Linked DNA regions of Cricetulus griseus. The protein of the gene in region 2 interacts with the protein of the main gene of each other region in a pairwise test. Links are inferred from orthologs where the notes say so. Each region holds a gene or a part of one and is shown on either strand. Other genes may lie near its edges. The genes, in order: Nelfa and Prr22.

Evidence for each region.
Region 1: the proteins of Prr22 (region 2) and Nelfa interact in a two-hybrid assay, tested with the Homo sapiens proteins (2 studies listed by BioGRID). The two-hybrid records come from large-scale screens. The link is inferred for Cricetulus griseus from reciprocal best matches to the Homo sapiens genes PRR22 and NELFA.

Annotation. Positions count from the first base shown.
Region 1 is NW_023276807.1:102,940,694-102,951,660, forward strand, and holds the start of Nelfa (negative elongation factor A), read right to left. Parts: upstream 7,160-10,967; 5' UTR 7,017-7,159; coding exon 6,807-7,016; intron 1-6,806. UniProt on the Homo sapiens protein: Essential component of the NELF complex, a complex that negatively regulates the elongation of transcription by RNA polymerase II.
Region 2 is NC_048598.1:96,774,069-96,784,838, reverse strand, and holds Prr22 (proline-rich protein 22), read left to right. Parts: upstream 1-5,827; 5' UTR 5,828-6,101; coding exon 6,102-6,213; intron 6,214-6,253; exon of another isoform or gene 6,254-6,297; coding exon 6,298-6,363; exon of another isoform or gene 6,364-6,688; intron 6,689-6,789; coding exon 6,790-7,865; 3' UTR 7,866-7,884; downstream 7,885-10,770. Other genes in the region: Dus3l (tRNA-dihydrouridine(47) synthase [NAD(P)(+)]-like), read left to right, coding at 1-56, 639-924, 1,813-2,316, 3,488-3,529, 3,639-3,791, 3,934-4,050, 4,233-4,298, 4,402-4,762 and 4 more.

The DNA.
Region 1 (10,967 bases), on a different chromosome or scaffold from region 2:
GAGTTTGCTTTCACTGTGGCAAAGCTACACATTTGGGCAAGAAACTGCCCTTGCCTCAACTGCTGACAGTATGCTGTACAAACTGGACATGCAGGACACACAGGACCATGACTGCTGAACTTTACCAATACAAGGTAAATCAGTCCTTCAACAAAATTCTTGCTTCATAGAAAAGTCTGCCAGATATTCTAGGCCTACAGACTGAAGATGGATGCCCCAATGTTGCAGAGGAACCTTGTGTGGCTGTCCAGGCAGTCAGATGTTTCTGTTGTTTCTATAGTTTTGGAAGTAGCTTGCTGTTGTGGAGTATTACTTTAACTATGTAAAGATATGTTACATTTGTTTCTGCTGTGGAATATTACTTTAATTGTGTAAAAGTGTGTTACATTTGTCTATGCTGCCTTTGTTAACAATGTAAAGATGTGTTGTATTTGTTTCATCTTGCCTGTATAAGCCACCTGACTGGTCTAATTAAAACCTGCCAAGAGAGGCAGGAGAGGGATAGGCAGGGCTGGTGGGCAAAGAGAATAAACAGGAGAAATCTAGGCTCAGGAAGAGCAGAGAGAACGAGGGAGATGGTGAGGGGGCAGACAGACACAGAGGAAGCAGAAGAAGTAGAATATACAGAATGAAAGGTAAAAAGCCCCAAGGCAAAATGTAGTTGAAGAGAAACAGGTTAAATTATAAGAGCTAGAGAGAGAAGCATAAGATAAGGCTGAGCATTCATAACTGATAAGTTTCTGTGTCTTGACTTGGGAGCTGGTTAGCAGTCCAAGAAAGCCTACTACAGAGTACTATTCAGGAGCAGCACTTCCCATTTCCTCAAGGCCTTTAAATTTACTCAAGCACCATCTTGTCAGTTCCTATGTTGTCTCTACAATCATCTACATCCTTACACAAGGTATCCTTAGTTCATATTAAGGTGTCAGCAACTCCAACTAATTCTGCATCCCTCACTGAGTAACTGAAACACAGACCACTGAAACACTTTTCTCTTTGAACTAGTTGAGAACTGCTGTTTACTTAGCTTCTACAGAGTAAGGCTGTGCAGATTTGGAGAATTGCATACATATTCGCGTATATAAACACTACATACAGAGACATTTATACACATCTACGCTATTTAGTTTTTGTCAACCTGACACAAAGCTGGAGTCATCTGGGGAGAGGGAACCTCGGTTGAAAAAATGTCTCCTTTAGACTGGCCTATGGGCAAGTCCTTGGGGACACCACTGCTGCTTCTTTCTTTTTTAGAGACAGGGTTTCTCTGTGTAGCTTTAGAGCCTGTCCTGCAACTCCCTCTGCAGACCAGGCTGGTCTCGAACTCACAGAGATCCGCCTGCCTCTGCCTCCCGAGTACTGGGATTAAAGGCGTGCGCCACCACCGCCTGGCATTTTGATGTTAATATTAACATGATTTTAGGTACAAATACAACAGAGAAAGATGATGATTTAACAGTGATATGTTTGAGTAGCAAGATGACTAAGGGTGAACTGTGCTGGTTAGCTTTTTTTGTCAACTTGACACAAACTAGAGTTATCCCGGAAGAGGAAACCTAACCTCATTGGAAATGTCGCCATAAAGACTGTTTTATAGGCAAGTCTGTGGAGATGGCTTCCTCTTCCTCCTTTTTTTTTTTTAAATAGAGTCTCACTCTGGATGGCTTGGAACTCAAGAGATCTGCCTACTTCTGCCTCCTGAGTGCTCAGATTAAAGGCATATCCCACAACAGACTCATTTTCTTGACTTATGATTGATGGGGATGGGCTCAGCTGCCTGTGGGTGGTGCTACTCCAAGCAGGTGTTTCTGTGGTTTGTGAAAGTAAACCAGTAAGCAGCATTCCTCCATGGCTTTTGCTTCAGTTCCTGCTCTGACTTCCCTCCATGACAGACTTCATAAACTCAAGCTGAAATACGTTATTCCCTAAGTTGTTTTTGCTTATGGTATCTTATCACAGCAATAGAAACCAAACTAAGACAACGCTATATTAGTTACTTTTCTTTCTTTTTTGGGGGGTGGTGGTGGTGGGTGTTCAAGACAGGGTTTCTCTGTGGCTTTGGAGGCTGTCCTGGAACTAGCTCTTGTAGACCAGGCTGGTCTCGAACTCACAGAAATCCTCCTGCCTCCACCTCCCGAGTGCTGGTATTAATGGCGTGCGCCACCACCACTCGGCTATTAGTTACTTTTCTATTTCTGTGATAAACATTGTGACCAAGGCAATTTACAGAAGAAAGAATTTACTTGGGTTTAGGGTTCCAGTATAAAAGTCCACTGTGGCAGGGAGGTGTAGCAGCAAGCGGCACACACACAGCTGGAGCAGAGCTGAGGGCTCACATCTTCAACCACAATGATGAAGCAAAGAACGAACTTGAAACAGTCTTTAAAATTTCAAAGCTCACCCCCTCCCCATGATATACATCCTCTAGGAAGGCCACAACTCCTAAGTCTCCCAAAACTGCTACTAACTGGGAGCCAAGTATTCAAATCTCAGAACCTATGGGAGACATCCTCATTCAAATCACCCCAACAGTCACATCAAGAAACAAGATGATTAAGCTAGTATTAACATCAGATAAAAACTGTTACAAAGACCAGACATGGTGGTGCATTTCTTTAATTCCAACACACTGGAGGCAGAGAGAGATGGAGCAAGTAGGGCCGCATAGAGACTCTGTTATTAAAAAAAAAGAGCCAAACAAGCATAAATGGATCTAAGTGCCAGCAAGATGCCCTAGCAGTAAGTAAAGATATTTCCCACTAAGTCTGACAACCAGAGTTTAATCTTTGGAAAAAAACCTACTCCTATAAGGTGTTCTGTGACCTCCACATATAAAGTATAGCAACATAATAAATAAATGTAATAAAAATAAAAAATAATTCTTTATGAACCATTTAAAAACCTAAGGACAAAACATTAGCCAATACTGTAACATCTCCACCTGCTGTTCTGTTCACAATGTAACTACAACAACTACAAAGTTATACATACCTATTAACACAAAACCAAAAATATACAAAGCAACAGCTGATACAGAGGAACAGGCAAATCCAGGATGCTACAATGCAGAGGATCAACAGTACAAGTAGACAGTATAGTAAGGTAAGAAAAAGAAATTAATAAACCCCGATTACACCAGAAAACAATCACAATAAGATCTCAGCCCAAAGCCAGATGTTGGTGGCGCATGCCTTTAATCCCAGCACTCGGGAGACAGACGCAGGTGGATCTCTGTGAGTTCAAGACCAGCCTGGTCTACAAGAACTAGTTCCAGGACAGCCTCCAAAGCCACTGAGAACCCTGTCTTGAAAAACAAACAAAAAAAGAAAAGAAAAAAAGAAAAAGATCTCAGCCCAGAGCTGAGTGTTTGCCTTTCATCCCAGCACTTGGAAGGCACAGGGAGAGGCAGACAGACCTCTGGAAGTTCCAAGCCAGTCTGGTCTGGTCTACATAGTGAGTTTCTGGACAGCCAAGGCTATGTAGAGACCCTGTCTCAAAACAAAACAACCCCCCCCACAAAAAAAAACAAGCAAACAAAAAAGCCAAAACCAAAACCAACAACAACAAAAAGGAGACCTCAGCCCAGGTGCTATTCTGACTCATTGCCTAAGTCTAAAGGATTTCTATATACCATTAGCAAACAAAAATATGAAATATACAAACAGAGGAGAATCACAGAACTTAATGATTCTGTTCTAAATAACTGCCCAAACCTCCTCTAGGTTACACACACACACACACACACACACACACACACACACACACACACACACACTGTTTTGTTTTTTGAGACAAGGTTTCTCTGTGTAGTTCTGGCTGTCCTGGATCTTGTTCTATACACCAGGCTGGCTTCAAACTCAGAGATATGCCTGCCTCTGCCTTCCGAGTGCTGGGATTAAAGTCCTGTGCCACCACTGCCCAGCAAGACTCTGTGCTATTAAGACTATTTACCCTGTGAGCTGAGAACATGGCTCCGTTGGTGGACTGTTACCAAGCCAAGTTGGAGGCCCCACGTTTAGATTCCCATACCCACATAAAAAGCCTTGCTCTGTGGGTATGAGCCTATATAGTCCAGCTCTACAGAGAAGACAGGAAGAACTCAGGAATACGCTGTAGAGCAACTGAGGCAGACACCTAAACCGTACTTCCACCTACATGTGCACATACACATGCACAAATGTAAACACAAAGATACACACACAAAAAAGACCCAGAGAAGTGCTGGGGCCAAGGAAAGCTGAAGCCATTACTGCAGGTTAGGTGGAGGCTTTACCCTTTATGTCACTATTGTAGGATCACACTATGAGCCCCGAGTGTGCATTATTTACTGAAAAAAAACCTGTGTCTACTGTGGTGTGACTCAGCCCTAGCACACACCTTTAATCCAAGAGCTTTCTGCTTGAGTATTGTAAACAGGATTAAACAAAGTCAACCATAGGTCAACAGATGGAGCAAACAACCAGCTGACAGGAAATGAACATAAGACTATTAAGAAGAAATAAAAGGGCTGGAGAGATGGCTCAGAGGTTAAGAGCACTGACTGCTCTTCCAGAGGCCCTGTGTTCAATTCCCAGCAACCACATGGTGGCTCACAACCATCTGTAATGAGATCTGGTGCCCTCTACTGGCCTGCAGGGACACATGCAGACAGAATACTGTATACATAATAAACAAAAAATAAATAAATAAATAAAAAGAAGAAATCACAGAGAGTAAGAGGGAGTCAGGAGGACAGATAGATACAAAAGAGGTAGAAGGGAGGGATATTCAGTCTAAAGAGAGGTTTTGTTTGAGATGGAATAGGAGAAAAACTTCTGGGGCATCAGCTGACCAGGAAGGTCAACTTTCTCTACCTTTCTGAGCCTGCATGACATCAAAACACATAACAATAAAGTGATAGCAAATAGCTCAGCACATTATCAGGGGAAAAAAAAAAAAGCTCACAGCAGAAGCAATAGGGCAGAAAAAACAGTCTGTGGTGTTGGACCTTCCATAGCCACATGTAAACTGAACTCTCAGCTTCACAAAAGCAGCCCATGGGAGGAGGAGGCTTACAGTGCAGTGCTAACGAGAGAGCACAGGTGCCTAACCTCAAGGAAGAAGCACTTTCTGAACAAGGCTAAGCAGGCAACAACCACAGGGAAGGAGAGGCTAAGTACCAAGAGCTCCATCCAAAAAGCTAAGCTGGGAAACAGCTGAAACATGTCATCAAACTAAGACAGTAAGAAGCCAGCATTTATTAAAAAGAATATTCTTCCAAAGTGACAAACCAAGAAAAATAGACCACCAGGAAAAATAAGTAGAACAACTCACAAAAAAGAAAGCCAAACAGAAAAATAAGCAGATGACACAACATTCAACTAAACCATTTTACTTGCCCTATGTGTCGTTGAGAATTATTTGATAGTATTGCTTTGAAAAGCCACTTGCCATAATCCTGCTACCACCTACAATTCTACTTCTAGAAAAAATGCATGCTCACAGTCACCTGGACATATAATGCTGGTGTCAGTCACAACAGAACAAGCTAACATGAAACAGGAAAAAAACAGATGAAAAAACAAGCCACAACCTAATCGTCCATGTGCTGTGTGCTTGGAGAAGAGAACACCATAATGCATGAAAAATCAAACTCTGGCCTGGTTGTGGCAGTGCACTCCTTTAATCCCAGCACTTGGGAGGCAGAAGCAGGCAGATCTCAATGAGTTCAAGGACAGCCTGGTCTACAAAGTTCCAGGACAGACAGGACTGTTACACAGAGAAACCCTGTCTCGAAAACAACCCCCTCCAAAAAAAAAAAAAAAAAAAAAAAAAAGAAGGAAGAAAGGAACAAATTGTCTGCAGCAACTTGTATGACTCTGTCCAAGTGTCTACCGACAGAGGACACACCCACACTACACCAAAAAAGCACATAACATAGTAACATGTTGCCATATTAAGTTCAAATGAGGCAGAAACTAAATACTCCTGCTAGGAATGCACACACAATTGATAATCCTGAAAGAAAAAGAAAAGATAAATGTTTACTCCCGTGGGGAAGAGAGGCAAGGAAGTGCTTGGGAGGATGCAGCCGTGTTCTTTTGTATGACGATAACAGAAGTGGGTCATTTAGCTATTAGTATTTGCTGAACTGAAAAGCATGCAGTTGCTTTTTTTTTTTTCAATAGCGCAACAAAAACTAAAACCAACCTTAGTGATACAACTAACCAGAAATGTTTAAAAACTAAGGTGCTTTGGTGTTTTTGCTGTCAGATGTGGTGGCCCAGACCTGCAATCCCAGCCCTCCAGATAGTGATGCAGGATATACCAAGTACGTGGAGGTCAAGCTGGGCTACCCTGCAGAGATATTTGTTGTGTATGTATTTGCAAAGCATCGTATATTTTGCAGAGATGCAACGTGGAGTAAGAATGCACTGAAGAGTGTCGACAGAATAGAGAGGATGCTAAGCAGACTGATACTCCGAGAGGCAAAGGCGACAAAATTAAGATAAGCAGTCACTTGACTAAGAGCCCCAAACCAAAGGTGGCTTCGGAACTGCAGCGTCCAGTACTCCGCGCCCGGCCAGCCGGGCTGAGGGCTGTTCCGGCCTTGGGCCCACGACCCCCGGTCGCAGCCAGCGGCCCGGCGGCTGGAGGCACTGACGCGTCGGGCCGGGTGGGTAGGCCGAGCGGCGCCAACCCGGAGATGAGCGCAGCCAGCGGGGGAAAAGGAAAGGCACGGCGTGGGTGCAGGCGGGAGGTGGGAGGTGGGAGGCGGGAGGCGGGAGCTGCGCTCCGGCCGGAGAGAAGCCGACCCGCGCCCTCACCTCGTCCACCGTGCGGCGCGGAAGATGCAGCGTCCCGAGCAGCAGCTTGAGCTTCACAGCCGATGAGAGACGGTGGAAGCAGAGGCGGATGTTATCGATGACCGCAGCGGTAAGCAGGGACGCAATGCTGGGGGGCGCCCACAGCTCGTCCGTGGCTCCCAGCTTGTTGTGCAGCCACAGGCCCGTGTCGCTCTCCCGCATGGACGCCATCTTGGCGGCAGTAACGCGCGCCGGCCGGCATCTTACGCGGACGCCTACGTGTCTCCAGCGAGGACCCCCAACATGGCGGCGCCCGTGAGCGCGGGGCGGGGCCTCGAGCGACAGACAAGAGCGATTGCAGACGGCTGCGCCTTGCGGAGGCTTCCGGCCGAGGGCCGAGGGCCGAGCGCCGCCGCCGCGATACGGAGCTGCCAGGAGGCCTGTGGGCTTCCGTATCGCATCATGGCGGCGCCCAACCCGGAGCCGGGCAATGACGTAAGCCCGAGTTGAGTCGCACCCCTGTGCCGTCGAGATGCACCGCCCAGAATCCGGGGATAGAGTTCGGTTTCTCCGTTCACTGCTCGGTGGGCGGATGTCCCGAGGGGCCGTTGGCCTGGTTCCTCACGGCGTCACTTCGCAGCCTGGAACCCTCTCACTCTTCCCCTTGCCGACCTGCAGACAGTGCTGCGGTGAGACTTTTTTTTCAAGACAGGGTTTCTCTGTAGCTTTGGAGGCTGCCTTGGAACTCGTTCGGACCAGGCTGGTCTCAGACTCGCAAAGATCCACCTGTCTCTGCCACCTGAGTGCTGGCACTAAAGGCGTGCGCCACCACCGCCCGGCACGGCGGGACTATTTTTTTTAAAGATTTATTTATTATGTGTACAGTGTTCTGTCTGCATGTATGACTGCAGGCCAGAAGAGGGCACCAGATCTCATTAGAGATGGTTGTGAGCCACCATGTGGTTGCTGGGAATTGAACTCAGGACCTCTGGAAGAGCAGCCAGTGCTCTTAACCTCTGAGCCATCTCTCCAGCCCCATACGGTGGGACTTTTAAAGTTATTTAAATTTTGAATGTGAGATCTTGGGGATGAATAAAAAAGGAAGAGTTGTGGCTTAAGAGTGTGTGTCAGGTTGACAAGGGGTCAGTTGAACTGCTGGTTTTGTGTGTCAACTTTACATAAGCTAGACTTATCAGAGAAAGGAGCCTCAGTTGAGGAAAGCCTCCATGAGATCTAGCTGTAAGGCATTTTATTTTCTCAATGATCAATGGGGGAGGGTCCAGTCCATGGTGGGTGGAACCATCCCTGGGCTGGTGGTCCTCGGTTCTATAAGAAAGCAGGCTGAGCAAGTCATAGGTAGCAAGCCAGTAAGCACCCCTCCATGGCCTCTGCATCAGCTCCTGCCCTGTTTGAATTCCTGTCCTGACTTCCTTCAATAATAAACAGCAATATGAAAGTATAAGTCAAATAAACTCTTTCCTCCCCAACTTGCTTTTTTGGTCATGGTGCTTCATCGCAGCAATAGAAACCCTAAGACAGATTGGTACCAGGAATTGTGGGGCTTGAGTACAGGTCTGTTCTACGTGTGAGACAGGTGGAGATGCCTGTGATTAATCATCAGAATTGTAGACTGCTGCTTTTACCCTAAGACAGGTGGAGTGGAGTAGGTTTTCCTGGAGTGCACCCCACCCCCCATGCTGAGGTTACTAGCAGGAATCAACTTGCAGCTCTGGCTGTCCTGGAAGACACCCGAGATCCACATGCCTCTGCCTCCCAAGTACAGGGATTAAAAGCGTGTGCCACTACCCATGTCCGTCCTCTTAAGTATTCTGGGACTGGTGGTCCATGCTTGTAATGCTGGGATTGGAAAAGGTGAGACAGAGCCACAAGTTATAGTCCATTTGGGGCCACAGAATGAGACTGTATAAAGAAAGAAGTGTTTATCTGTTTTCTCCTAATTGAAAAATTGTTTCCTGTAGAGAGGAGAGCGCTCTTAAAAGACTGTAGTGTGGTAACTAAAGTACAAAGGAGGGAGCTCTGAAGATGTAAGACTCACAAGGCCACTTCCTGAAGTTACCGGATGTTATATACATAGTTAATGGCAGGGAAGATACTTTTTTGTGTGTTGCCTGCTTCAGGGAGCATCAGGAATTTAGTATTTTGAAGTCAACACTTGTAGTGAAGTGGACTTTCCTGGTGCTCCAAATTACTCATACTTGCCAGGTGTGATGGCACATGACTTTAGTTCCAGCACTTGGGAGGCAGAGGCAGGCAGATCTCTGAGTTGGTGGCCAGCCTAGTCTAAATAATAAGTTCCAGGACAGCAGGAACTACATAGTGAGACCCTGCCTCAAAAGAAAAAAGTTATTCATACTTGTTTTGCCCAAGTCGCAAAGATCCCCAGAGACCACCAGGAAGACAGACCCACCAACCTGCAAAAGCAGTTCATTCAACCATGACAGGGACCTCATATAGCAAGCTGATGCAGCAGCCTCTAAAGGGAGTGAAGTTTCCTGTCTTCTGCTAGGTTTTAAAGACAAAGTTACAGGATTACATGAGTAGGTACAGGTTTGTTTCTGATTGGTTGACATTTGGGAACAATCAGGAGAATTTCTCAAAAGTCATATTTTGGCATGAAATACCTGTGTACCAATTATTCTCATTGGTCAGTGCTGAGAGGGAACATTCTGTGATTTCTATGGCTTTGTTTTGTTACTTTCAGGTGGCCTATTGTTCATAGATACCAATAGTTTTTGGAACTGTATCCTGTAGACTATTGGGGAGGTTTTGGTCTCCCCTGGAGTTTCTTTTGTAGCCAAACAGTTCCAGCAACCAAGTATCTACAAGTATCTAGGAGGCTGGGGGGGGGGTGTCTGGCGTTTGTGTCATGTGCTGAGTCAGAGGCCTACAAGTCTTCTGCAGCCTGTCATGGCTGCTAAAGCAGGGGGCTAAATGGGGGTCTGGTCCCTTTACTACTAGGAGTAAAGCCTTTTAGTTTAGTTTACCCCTTTCACACACACAAAAATCCCAAAAACAACCATTTTGATGAAGGATTTTTGGATCCTGAGATCCCAGATGTCTTAGTCAGTGTTGCATTGCTGTGAAGAGACACTATAATCACAGCAACTCCTAATAAAGGAAAGCATTTGATTGGGGCTGGCTTACAGTTTCAGAGGTTTAGTCCATTATCGTCATGGAGGAGAGCATGGTGTTGTGCAGGCAGACATGGTAGATTAGAGTTCTACATCCAGACCCAGTTCCACAGGCAGCAGAGAGAGAAAGAGAGAAAGACAGAGACAGACTGGGCCTTTCTTGAACATTTGAAACCCCAAAGCCCACCCCCAGTGACACACTTCCTCCACCAAAACCATACCTACTCCAATAGGGCAACACATCTAATCCCTATAAAAGAGCACTACTCCCTTGTAATGACAAAGCATTGGGATATGTGAACTGATGGGGGCCTATTCCTATCCAAACCACCACACCAGATTTATTTCATACACTTCACCCCAGAAGAAGAGAAATGAAGGTTCTTATACCAGTCCACTGGATGAAAGAGTAGTATGGTGAATTTCTATTTCCACAAAGCCAGAATGCACCCTAATTACAACTGAGGCCTGCAGGAGGTTTCCAGGGTGAGGGTGAGGGACAGTTAAAATGTGCAGCTTATTCTATGTCAGTCTCTTGTCTTGTTTGTGTGTGGTGTGAGTGTGTTAATGTGAAGTCCTGAGATCAACATTGGGTGAGCTGTGTGGCACTATTCCCTGGGAAACATAAACAAATTACAAAGCAAATCTACTCACCCCAGATAAGGAACCCATGACAGACTGAAGTATGGGTACCACCAAAGTCCAATTTGTTGAACCAAAGAGTTTTATTGGTATCACTTAGAAGAACATGGGTGAAAGGTTACTTATAGGAACAACAACAACAACACACACAAAAAGAAATGTGTTGGGATTATTTGCTTGTGCAGTGGCAGAAGTTGTTACAATCTGCAAGAGTTTGGAAATCAAGTGTGCCATCTTTGAACATTGAGCTGTACTGAGTGTTTTGTTGGAACCTCCAGCTTGCTCCTGCAGTTCCCACACAGTCTGAGAAGTCCCATTACTGTCTTTCCAAACCCTGCCCACTCAAGAGAATCTCTGAACAAAGGGAAGGCACCAAAAGGCCCAATTC
Region 2 (10,770 bases):
GGCGGCGACCCCGGGGTCGGCGCGTGCGAACCGGGTGTAGCGCCCATTAAGGCTCAGTGAGTTGCTGGCGCCAGATGGCGAAGCCGACGGGGCCTTCCCGGCGTCCGTGGCGCGACGCGAGCGGTGCATGCCGGGAGGTGTGGCGGCGTCCCAGAGCGGGGCAGACCGGTAGCGCCACTGTCTCTGCAGAGACGAACGCGTTGTCGGCTGTCACACGCGTTGGATACAGCTGTGCGCATGCGCAGCCTTGGGGGGGGGAACCAGACGCGACCACCGCGGTGCATGCTAGGGCTTGTAGTTTCCCTGGCTCGCGCTGCATTAAGGCTTGTAAGCGGGCCGAAAGGCTTCGTGGCCGCTTGGTTCTACCTGCCAAGCATGCAGGGACTTGTAGTCTCTCTGAAGTCTAACGTGATTGTTGGTATTTATGGATCGCAACCTGTAACAGTGCAATTCTCTGGGCAGGGACACGAATGGGTCCTTCAAATGCAAAATAGGTGTCCCTCTGTCATTGGGGTGCCACAGGGTAAGAGCTGGTTCTAATAGGCGAGCCTCCTATCTGCAGGAGCATGTGAGCCAGGACATTGGTTCTAAGACTCCTTTCCCTATGCCAATGGATGGAGCCTCTCCCTCTCTGGCAGGTACCGCACCACCAAGGAACGGTTCCACCAATACCTGGATGCAGACAAACGGGAGGATGCAGGCCAGGAAACGCCTGCAGGAGACCCTGATGGTAGTGACCCGGCAGAGCCCGAAGCCAAGAGGATCCGCCTGGAAGATGGGCAGGAGAATGGGAAGACAGAGGTGGCAGCTGAGTCCCCCGAGCAACAACAGGTGCCCAAGAGGGCCCGTGGCCAGAACAAAAGCCGGCCTCATGTGAAACCATCGCAGTATGACAAGGAGAGGCTCTGCCCTTCCCTCCTCCAGGTGAGAGCAGCTCTGGGAGGGCTTCATGGGCCTGTCACCTGCCCGGCTGGGACTTGTACATGGCCCTTGGCCTAGCAGTACCTTGGCTTCTCCTCTGCCCTCAGCCAGCCCGTTGCCGCTGCCCGGCGTCTGCAGGCCACACTGGCATTTTTGTGTCTTTTGAGACATGGTTTCTCTGTGTGGCCTGTTGCTGGACCGTCTGTGGTCCCACTGCCACATTGCCCCAAATAAGCACACAGAGACATGTATTAATTATAAATCTGTTGGCTGATGTCTAGGGCTTCTTATTAGCTAGCTCTGTCTTAATTATTAACCCGTTTCTATAAATATGTATTTCCACGTGGTTTTGGCTTACCAGAGAACACCTGGTGCATCCTATCCTCCTGGTCCCTCAATGGTGTCTCTTTCTGGTCTCCCTCTGCCTACCTTGCCCAGAATTCTCCTCTTCCTAATCCCGTCTGTCTTCCTGCCCCTATTGGCCAAACAGTGTTTTATTCATCAACCAATAAAAGAAACATATATACAGAAGTACATCCCCCATCGGTGGCCCATGCCAGTCTGATAAATCTGTTCCTGCTGTGCCAGGATGCTGTGCCCATGGGACTTATTTTTACTTACCTGACTCTAAGAGAGTGTTGGATGCCCTGGAACTAGAGTTATAGGCTGTTGTGAGCCACCACTGTGTGCTGGGAATCAAACCCAGTCATGTGCAAGAGCAGCCATGCTCTTGACCTCCTGTGAGCCTGAAAGTATTCCGGTTTTAGAGCTCGTGACTCTGGCACCCTGATGTTGCTGATAGTCCCAGGGATAGGTGGCTGGGAGAATAATCCCTTGCAACTGCCCTGGCCACTCCTTCCTCTCCCAGCCCCTCCCTCATGTTCCCCACAGGAGTCAGCCACGTGTGCATTTGGTGACCGGTGCCGATTCCTTCATGATGTGGGGCGCTACCTGGAGACAAAACCAGCAGACCTGGGCCCCCGCTGTGTGCTGTTTGACACCTTCGGCCGATGTCCTTACAGCGTGACCTGTCGCTTTGCGGGGGCACACCTGGGGCCTGAGGGTCAGAACCTGGTGCAGGAAGAGGTGGTAGCTCGCTGTGTGCACCTCCCTCTAGTGCGCAATGGCCTGAACAGGGCCCTGCAGCAGCAGCTGCGTAAGCGCCAAGTGTGCTTTGAACGAGCTGAGCAGGCCCTGCGCCGCCTGACCCAGGGCCCCATGCCCGTTGTTGTCCCTGAGGCCACTGTAGCCACGGTTACCCCAGACCAGAACAGCTGCCATGCCCAGTTGGACACTGCGGGAGGGGCCAGCACCCCGAGTGGCAGCCCTATTTCCACCTGTGGCCCCTTGACGGACGAGGACATTATTCGGCTACGGCCCTGTGAGAAGAAGCGGGTAAGGGTACTGTAAGCATGGGACACAAATGGAAAGGGAGCCAAGGAATACCACAGGTCACAGTAAGCATAGCAACTTCCGGCCCTGCTCCAGGGAAAGGCTTCACCAGTGTTAACAGCTCTGCTCTGGCAGGAGAGGGCTTCCCCAGTGAAGTTTTACAGTTCTGCTCTGTCCCTGGAGTATAGTGTAACATCTCCTCTTTACTAGGGGAAGGTTTCCCCGGTGAGAGCGTTACAGCCCTGCTCCACTCCACTCAGGCTCTATCTCTGCTTTAGTGAAGGAAGGTCTTACCCAAACCTCATTCAAGAGATTTATTGGGAGGGAATAATCCAGGAAGATGGTTGCCATTTGCCAGGGTTGAAAAGGCAGCAACAAACTGAACAGGCACAGGGATTATATAGGGCTTCTTCGGGTAGAGTTTTTCCAGGGAGAAGATTTCCAGGGTGGGATTGGTCAGATTTCAGTCCCTTGAGCTCAGATTGGGTAGATCTCATGCTCAGGGATTGGTTCTTTTTCTGCTCAGGGATTGGTTCTGATTTCCTGGTCAAAGTGCTTTTTGTTTGTTTGTTTCTCCGGTTTTTTGAGACAGGGTTTCTCTGTGGCTTTAGAAGCTGTCCTGGATCTAGCTCTTGTAGACCAGGCTGGTCTCGAGCTCACAAATATCGGCCTGCCTCTGCCTCCCGAATGTTGGGATTAAAGGCGTGTGCCACTACCACCTGGCCAAAGTGTGTTTTTTTTCACTGGTCCTTTTTATCCTGTTGGCTCTAATTTCAGGGCCAGGATGGATTTCTTTCACTGGCTCTGGTTTCAGGGCCAACTTCAGTTTCTTTGGCTGGCCCTTTTACCCTACAGGTACAGGCATAGCATCTGGGCTCCAACATTGTCCACAATCCTGCCTCACCAGAAAGAGCCTGGAGGATCAGGGCTAGGGGCTAAGGGGGCAACATGGAAGACTCCTGAAGGGAAGGGCATTGAGACTAGGGTTTTAGTGGTTGACTAGAAGCTCTCCAGTATAGAAGCCTGGGTGCTGATGAACTTTTCTCCTAAGAGGAATGGATGTGGTGTGTACAGAGCAAGCAATAGAAGGAGGCCACTGGGCGTGTGGGAGGGAGAGCATGCGTTAGAGCGGGGAAGGAGGCCTAACTTCACCTGATGTTTCCTTCCCTCCCAGCTGGACATCAGTGGAAAGCTATACCTTGCTCCGCTCACCACGGTAGGAGGTGCCTGGGGTGGGTGGCTCAGTAGTTCCTGGGGCATTGCTGGTGTCTGGTGTCCCTGCTTTGCTGACCTCTGAGGCCTGAACATGTCCTTGTCCTAGCCAGTGCGGGAACCTACCCTTTCGCCGCATCTGCAAGCGCTTCGGTGCGGATGTGACGTGCGGTGAGATGGCCGTGTGCACGAACCTGCTGCAGGGACAGATGTCTGAGTGGGCCTTGCTCAAGCGCCACCCCTGCGAGGACATCTTTGGGGTGCAAGTTAGTGTTTGCCCTGAGGGAGTTTGGAAGGGGCAGCCATGTTGGGGAGCAATACCCAGGATCTGTGGCCTTGTCCCCCTGACCTGGTGTCCGTGGGATGACCCTGGTGGGCTGGTCACTGACTACACACTGCCTGGTGCAGCTAGAGGGCGCCTTCCCTGACACCATGACCAAATGCGCTGAGCTCCTGAACCGCACCATCGACGTGGACTTTGTGGACATTAATGTGGGCTGCCCCATCGACCTTGTCTACAAGAAGGTGACAGCCACTCAGCTCTGGAGCTTGGGAGGGTGTGGCCCAAGCCTGGGACCCTGCCCTGCTGTCTCCATCTGGACATGGAGAACACTGAGCTGGGTGGCAGGCAATTCAGTTGTATGTGGGCACCCATAGGGAGAGTGTACGTTTCTTGGGAGGGTCACCAGGCTGTCCGTGTCCCACAGGGTGGCGGCTGCGCACTCATGAATCGCTCAGCCAAGTTCCAGCAGATTGTAAGGGGCGTGAATGAGGTAACCTGGGCTCATCAGGGACATGTCCCTCCTCGTTCCCACATAGTTCACCATGCAGCCTCCAGGCTTGCTGTCTGCTCCCTCTCTGCCCTTGTACCCACAGGTGCTGGATGTGCCATTGACTGTGAAGATGCGCACGGGTGTTCAGGAGCGTGTGAGCCTGGCACACCGCCTGCTGCCTGAGCTGCGGGACTGGGGTGTCGCACTGGTCACAGTGGGTGTCAGGGGCAGTGTGGTCCCATCTTGGGGTCACTGTGGTTTTCCTGGTCTCTTGTTTTCTGTCTCTTTGGTTCCTTGCTGTCTCCCTTGCCCCCTCTCACCCTTAACCCCTCCACCTTCCTTCATCACTGCACCCCCCTCCCCTCAGCTCCATGGCCGTTCCCGGGAACAGCGCTACACCAGGCTGGCTGACTGGCCCTACATCGAGCAGTGCGCCAAGGTAGCCAGCCCCATGCCCCTGTTCGGTAGGTGCCCAGAGCCACCGGGGCCACTCACCCTGCTGGAAAGACAGGGAGGATGCTGGGTCCCTGGGAAATCCCAAGACCGATGACTTCCCCAACACTGTCAAGACGCCACTCTGTCTCCTCAGGAAACGGGGACATCCTTTCGTTTGAGGATGCCAACTGTGCCATGCAGACAGGTGTCGCAGGGGTCATGATCGCCCGGTGAGTGGCATCTGGGCTGGGACAGGGATGCTAGAGGTTTCTACACATGGGGCCTCTGGGTGGGCAAGGCCCGGTGCTAAGGTGACTGGCAGGAAGCACTGTACCCACTGACTGTCTCCCTCCACAGTGGTGCCTTGCTCAAGCCCTGGCTGTTCACAGAGATCAAGGAACAGAGACACTGGGACATCTCGTCCTCTGAGCGCCTGGACATCCTGAGGGATTTCACACACTACGGCCTGGAACACTGGGGCTCTGACACGCAGGGTGTGGAGCGGACCCGGCGCTTCCTTCTCGAGTGGCTCTCCTTTCTTTGCAGGTGAGCGTCAGACAAGGAGAGTGCTGGAGCCTCGGATTGTAGCCTCAGGCCTCACCCAGTCTTATTGCCTCCCCTGTCCTCCTGCAGGTATGTGCCCGTGGGCCTGCTTGAGCGACTCCCACAGAGGATCAATGAAAGACCACCCTACTACCTAGGCCGAGACCACCTGGAGACGCTCATGGCCAGCCAGCAGGCCGCAGACTGGATTCGCATCAGGTACCCACTGGCCTGGGTCCTGTGGGGTGATGCTGGGAGGCCCAGGCCTGACTTGTCACCCTGTCCCCACAGTGAGATGCTGCTTGGACCAGTCCCACCCGGCTTTGCCTTCCTGCCCAAGCACAAAGCCAATGCCTACAAGTAGACAACGGAGACAATAAATTTTATTCTTCTACAACTTTTTTTTTGTTGGGTTTTTGAGACAAGGCTCCATGTTTCCTGGGATTTACTTTGAACTCCTGGAACCCTAGGCACGTACCTACCATCATATTCAGTTTTCTTTTATGTGCCATCCTTTCCTCTTCATCCAGGGTGTGGCCTTTGCTGGTGCCTGGTTCCTGTCTGCCCTGTTTTCGACTCCCAGCTATCCATTTTGCTGGCCAGCACCCTTGTGGCTGTGAATCTGGGCAACCTGGCCCAGGGTGTATCTACCCAGGCAGTGAAGGGAGTCACCTCCTGCCCACCCCCACCCCGGAATCCGAGGGGTGGGCCCATCCTGGACTGGAACCCTCCACCTAGCAACAGGGCAAACAACCCAGGGGACTGTGTCCCCGAGGTGCCTCTGCTGCCACCCAGGCCCCCCCCCCAGGGTGGCCTGTCTGCCCCATGCAGCACCCCAAAACCCTCTACCCCCCAGCCATACCCCAGGAAGGCTTCGGCCCACGGGGCCTGGAGGGCACTGAGGTGCCAGGTGGCCCAGAACCACTTCCCACCGTAGGTACGATGGTGGTAGCAGGCAGGGGTGTGTGATGGCCACGGGGCCTGGGCTCCTGCCCCACCCACCAGACGCCTTTATCCACAGCCAGCGCCAGCCTGCTCTATCAGACTCCCGGCTCGGACCACGATGTGCTATCAGCGCCTCCAGCAGGTACTGGCCAGCACCCTGAGCATGCTGAGAGCAGGCTCCGTCCTGACCCGAGATGAGACCCTGGGTCGCCTCTGTACCCCAGACAGATCCCCCCCATACTAACTCATGTGCCACAGTTTGAAGTGACAACTAGAGACCAGGCCGAAGCTTGCTTCGGTGACAACAGCTGCCACTAGGTAAGGGTTTTCACAAGGCCAAGCCACTCACAAGCTCAGTCACTGCTCCCCTGAGAATAGGAGTTTCCCCAACAGTCTCCGAGTGTCTTACCCGCCATGAATCCCCAGATGACTGCTAAACAAAGCCAGTACACACAGGCACCTTTGAGGTGAGGGCTGTGTCCTATGTGCCTGGGTCTTGGTCTGTCCCTCCCATCCCATGGTCTGGTTCCCCCATGGACACCCCTCTCAGAGTGTCTGCCACCTGCAGGCTTCCAGATGGCTCCCTGCGGCTGCTTCTTTGACCCCCGCATCTACCGAATCGAGTGGGCCACCTCCGACTTCGGCCAGTCGTCCCTATACAAGGTGGCAGTGGCCGGGGGTCCCACCTTGTCCAGTGGCTACCTGCTGGAGGCCCCATCCTACCTCAAGGCCCCGGGGCCTCCACCTCCGCTGTACCCCCACTACCAGCCAGCTCCCGGTGGGCCACAGTACCTTACACACTACCTTCCACCTGAGGAGTCTGGGCCCGAGGCAGTGGGCTTTGTGGGGGATGGAGGGTCCCTCAACTTTATGGAGATGCTCAGAGATGGCCTGGCACCCCCACCAACCCCCAAAGAGACTAAGCCATCTCCCTTGCTCATCACAGTCCCTACGGCACACTCGCTGCCACCTGGACCCTATGGCCATCTCAGTGGCCATGCTAGCCAGTTCCCAGGGCCCCAGGTGACCATGAGGCCCATCGAAGCCCCCAGGGAGCTGCAGGGCAGTGCCGTGGCCAGGCTGGGTCTGCGGTTCCCTCCTGGGCCTGCGGAGCCCAAGGTGGCCGAGGTGGAGGACATCACCCCCATGGGCTCAGGTGAGACCGTGCCTCCTGAGGTGGCCCGCGCTTTCTTCTTACCGGACAAGGTCCTTCTAGAAGATGCCATGAAACTTTTCGATTGTCTCCCTGGTGGCGCTGAACCTGAGGTGGCCCTGCACAGGGGTACCGGGCCCAGCCCGAGAGACAGTGGTGGTGGTGGGGATGACTGCACAGCCGACATCCGCTCCCTGCACCTGCCAGATGAGCTGCTGTCCTTCGACTATGGCGTCCCTGAGGTCCTGGATGCTGTGGCCAGTGTGGATTACGTTTTCAGCTTCAAGGCCCTGGATGATGAGCCGCTGCCCCATGTGGGGGTCCCTGTCACTGACATGGTGGCCCCTGGCCTACGGTCCCATCAGTCAGGAAAGAAGACCACCACATCCACCAAGAAAGGGAAACCAGGTGGCAGACAACGGCAGACCACAGGCCCCGCTGGCACCACAACCACAGGACCCAGGCCGGACCCGGGAACTGCCCTCAATTAAAGTGATTTGATCTCTGCTATGTGTTGCTGTGACCTGGTGAGGCCAGAGGGGACCCGGCAGTAGCTAGACGCCTTCAGAGTTGGGCCAGGAACCTCAGAATTAAGTGTCAGGTATCAGGCGTGCATCTGAACTGTTACCCTGTATTCGGGAGGCTGGGGCAGTCAGTCAGAACCACAAAGGATGCCCCGTCTAAAAGAAATGAGGACACAGGGGCTGGGCTGTAGCTCAGTAGAATACAGTGTTGGGTTTCAGTGCTTGGGGTTCAGTGGGTAGAGTGCTTGGGGCTCAGTTGCTACACACAAGACCCTGGACTCCATCCCCAGTGCCACATGAACTGTGTGTTTCATGAGTGTAACCCTGGTGCTGAGGAAATGAGAGGAACCAAAAGAATCAGAATTTCAAGGCTAGCCTGAGCTATATGAGACTGTATCAACAAGAAAATCAGTCACCTGGGGCTGGCCATGTTGGGAGGCCTCCTGAGAAGTGGGGTTTTCTTTTCCATCCAGACCTCACACTGAAATGGGTTCCCTTGTATGTTTGGTGGTCCAGAGAGGAGTGTACACAGTGTGGAGGGCAGGCCCTGGCCGGTGGCTCTCCCCGCCAGCTCTCAGTACCTCAACAGTCCCCACAAAGCCACAGTTTGTAGAAGGCAGGCAGGGAGGTCACCGCTGCTATTTGGGGGCTATGGTGGTATCTGGGAAGCTGAGCTCAGACTCAGCATGGTTGCTGGGGAGGGCATGACACAGATGGTTATTTGTGGGCCAGGTGTGGGCTTTGGGGGAGGGTGCTGTGTGTTGTGGGGAGGGAACAAGTCTTTCCCCCCAAAGCTGAGGGTGCCAGAAGGGGGTCTGTCTCTTGGGGAGCCCACAGTCAAGAGCAAGAGCAGGTGAGGCTAACAGGATCCCAAACCCGTGAAGGTGGAAGGAGAGAACCAGCTCCACAGAGTTGTTCTCTGACCATATAGTCATAATTTACCAGTCTGTCACCCAAGGCCACTGCTGCTTGTGGTCGTCATTCTCTCCCTCACCTACTCTGTAAATGTTTGTTAGCTGAGACAGGGTCTCAGTGTGTAGCCCTGGCTGGCCTGGAGCTCACAGGGATTTGTCTCCCTCAAGGCATGCGCTACCATGCTTCGCCTCCTTTTCTTTCCTTCCTTCCTTCCTTCTTTTTTTGTTTTTTGTTTTTTTCTGAGACAGGGTTTCTCTGTGTAGCTTTGGAGGCTGTCTTGGAACTAACTCTTGTAGACCAGACTGATCTTAAACTCACAGAGATCCACCTGCCTCTGCCTCCCAAGTGCCGGGATTAAAGGCGTGCGCCGCCGCCACCGCCGCTACCACCACCTGGCTCTTAGCTTGCTTTTCTTTCTTGGACAAGACTTTTGTAGCTCCAGGTGGCCACAAACCTATGTAGTTGAGAATGACCTTGAACTCCTAGTCTTTTGTCCTCTACCTGCAGAGTGCTGGGTTGACAGGTCCTGTGGGCAGAGCTCAGTGCCTCCTGTGTGTGGGCAGATGCTCTGCCCACTGAGCAGCCCATCTTAATTCCACTAACAGAGTCCTATGAGAGTTGGAGTTCCCTGCCTTGCTCGGTGCCCCCCTTCCCAGAGTTGCTGGGAAGAGACACCATCTATCTCCTGGCTTCCTTCCCTCCAGTGTGGCTAAGCAAGAGTTTGGGAGGTACAGCTTTAGGATTGTAGAGTAATGATGGAAGGGCTTGCATGTAAGTGCTGTGAATCATGGGTCGGGAGCACCGTGTAGCATGGAAGTGCTCCTCATCGGGCTGGGGCACATCCAGGAAGTTCCCCTGGAAGCAGTTCCAATTGAGATCAATGACAAAGGTCGCAGTGGGCAGAGCCTTTGACTGGCACGGATGAAGTCCTGGGTCAGCCCCCAGTACCACATAAATGGTATGGCAGCCCACATATGTCATCTCAGAACTAGGTGGAGGCAGGAGGCTCAGGAGTTCAAGGTCACCTGCTACTATATAGCCTTTAAGACCAGCACTCGGAGGCAGAGGCAGGCATGTATCTGTGAGTTCGAGACCAGCCTGGTCTACAAGAGCTATAGTTCCAGGACAGCCTCCAAAGCCTCAGAGAAACCATCTCAAAAAACAAGAACCAACCAAACAAACAAACAAAAAGACCCCACTCAGGAGGCAGAGACAGGCAGCTCTCTGTGAGTTTGAGGCCAGTCTGGGCTACATAGTTCCAGACTGGCTAGGTAGTTCAACCCTATCTTTGAAAGTAAAAAGCTGAAATTGGTTACATGTAGCACAGGAATGGAAACAGGACTGTGGGGTCTTGGCCATCGGCTTAGTTCCAGTGTCAGCAAGAGACTGTCCTCCAAGTTCCTCCTCTCGCTTTCACATCATGCACAGCCCTGGGCCGATCAGTGATCTAAAGTGTCCGGGCGCTTGCCCCAGAAAACAACCTGACCCAGTGTCTGAAGGGAAGAGCCATGGTGGAAGGTTAGGTCCCGAATGTCTGAAGGATGATGCCAAGCTCCTGCCTGTCCTGCGAGTGTCTGAATGGCAATGCTAAGATCCCACCTGTTGTCCCTGGGCCACCCCCACCCCTGCCACCACCCTGAGACTCTGTCTGCTCCTGCTAAGAGCAAGAAGCTGACAAGCCTGAGCACGGGGACGGCAGTTCTGGGAATGGGCGAAGTCACTAAAGGGTGGTAGGGTGGGGCCTGGAGCAGGACCCGGGGATGGAGACACATCAGCCCGAGATGGGAGAACCAGGAGGGAAGACAAGCTTCAGGGAGAGAATGTCTCCCTGGGTGGGAGACCTCCATTTTCTTTATTAAACAACAAAAAGATTTTCATTTCATGTCTGCTGGTGTCTTGCCTGGGTGTGCCTGTGCCCCATGTGAGCGCAGTGCCTGAGGAGGCTGCACAGGGCCTA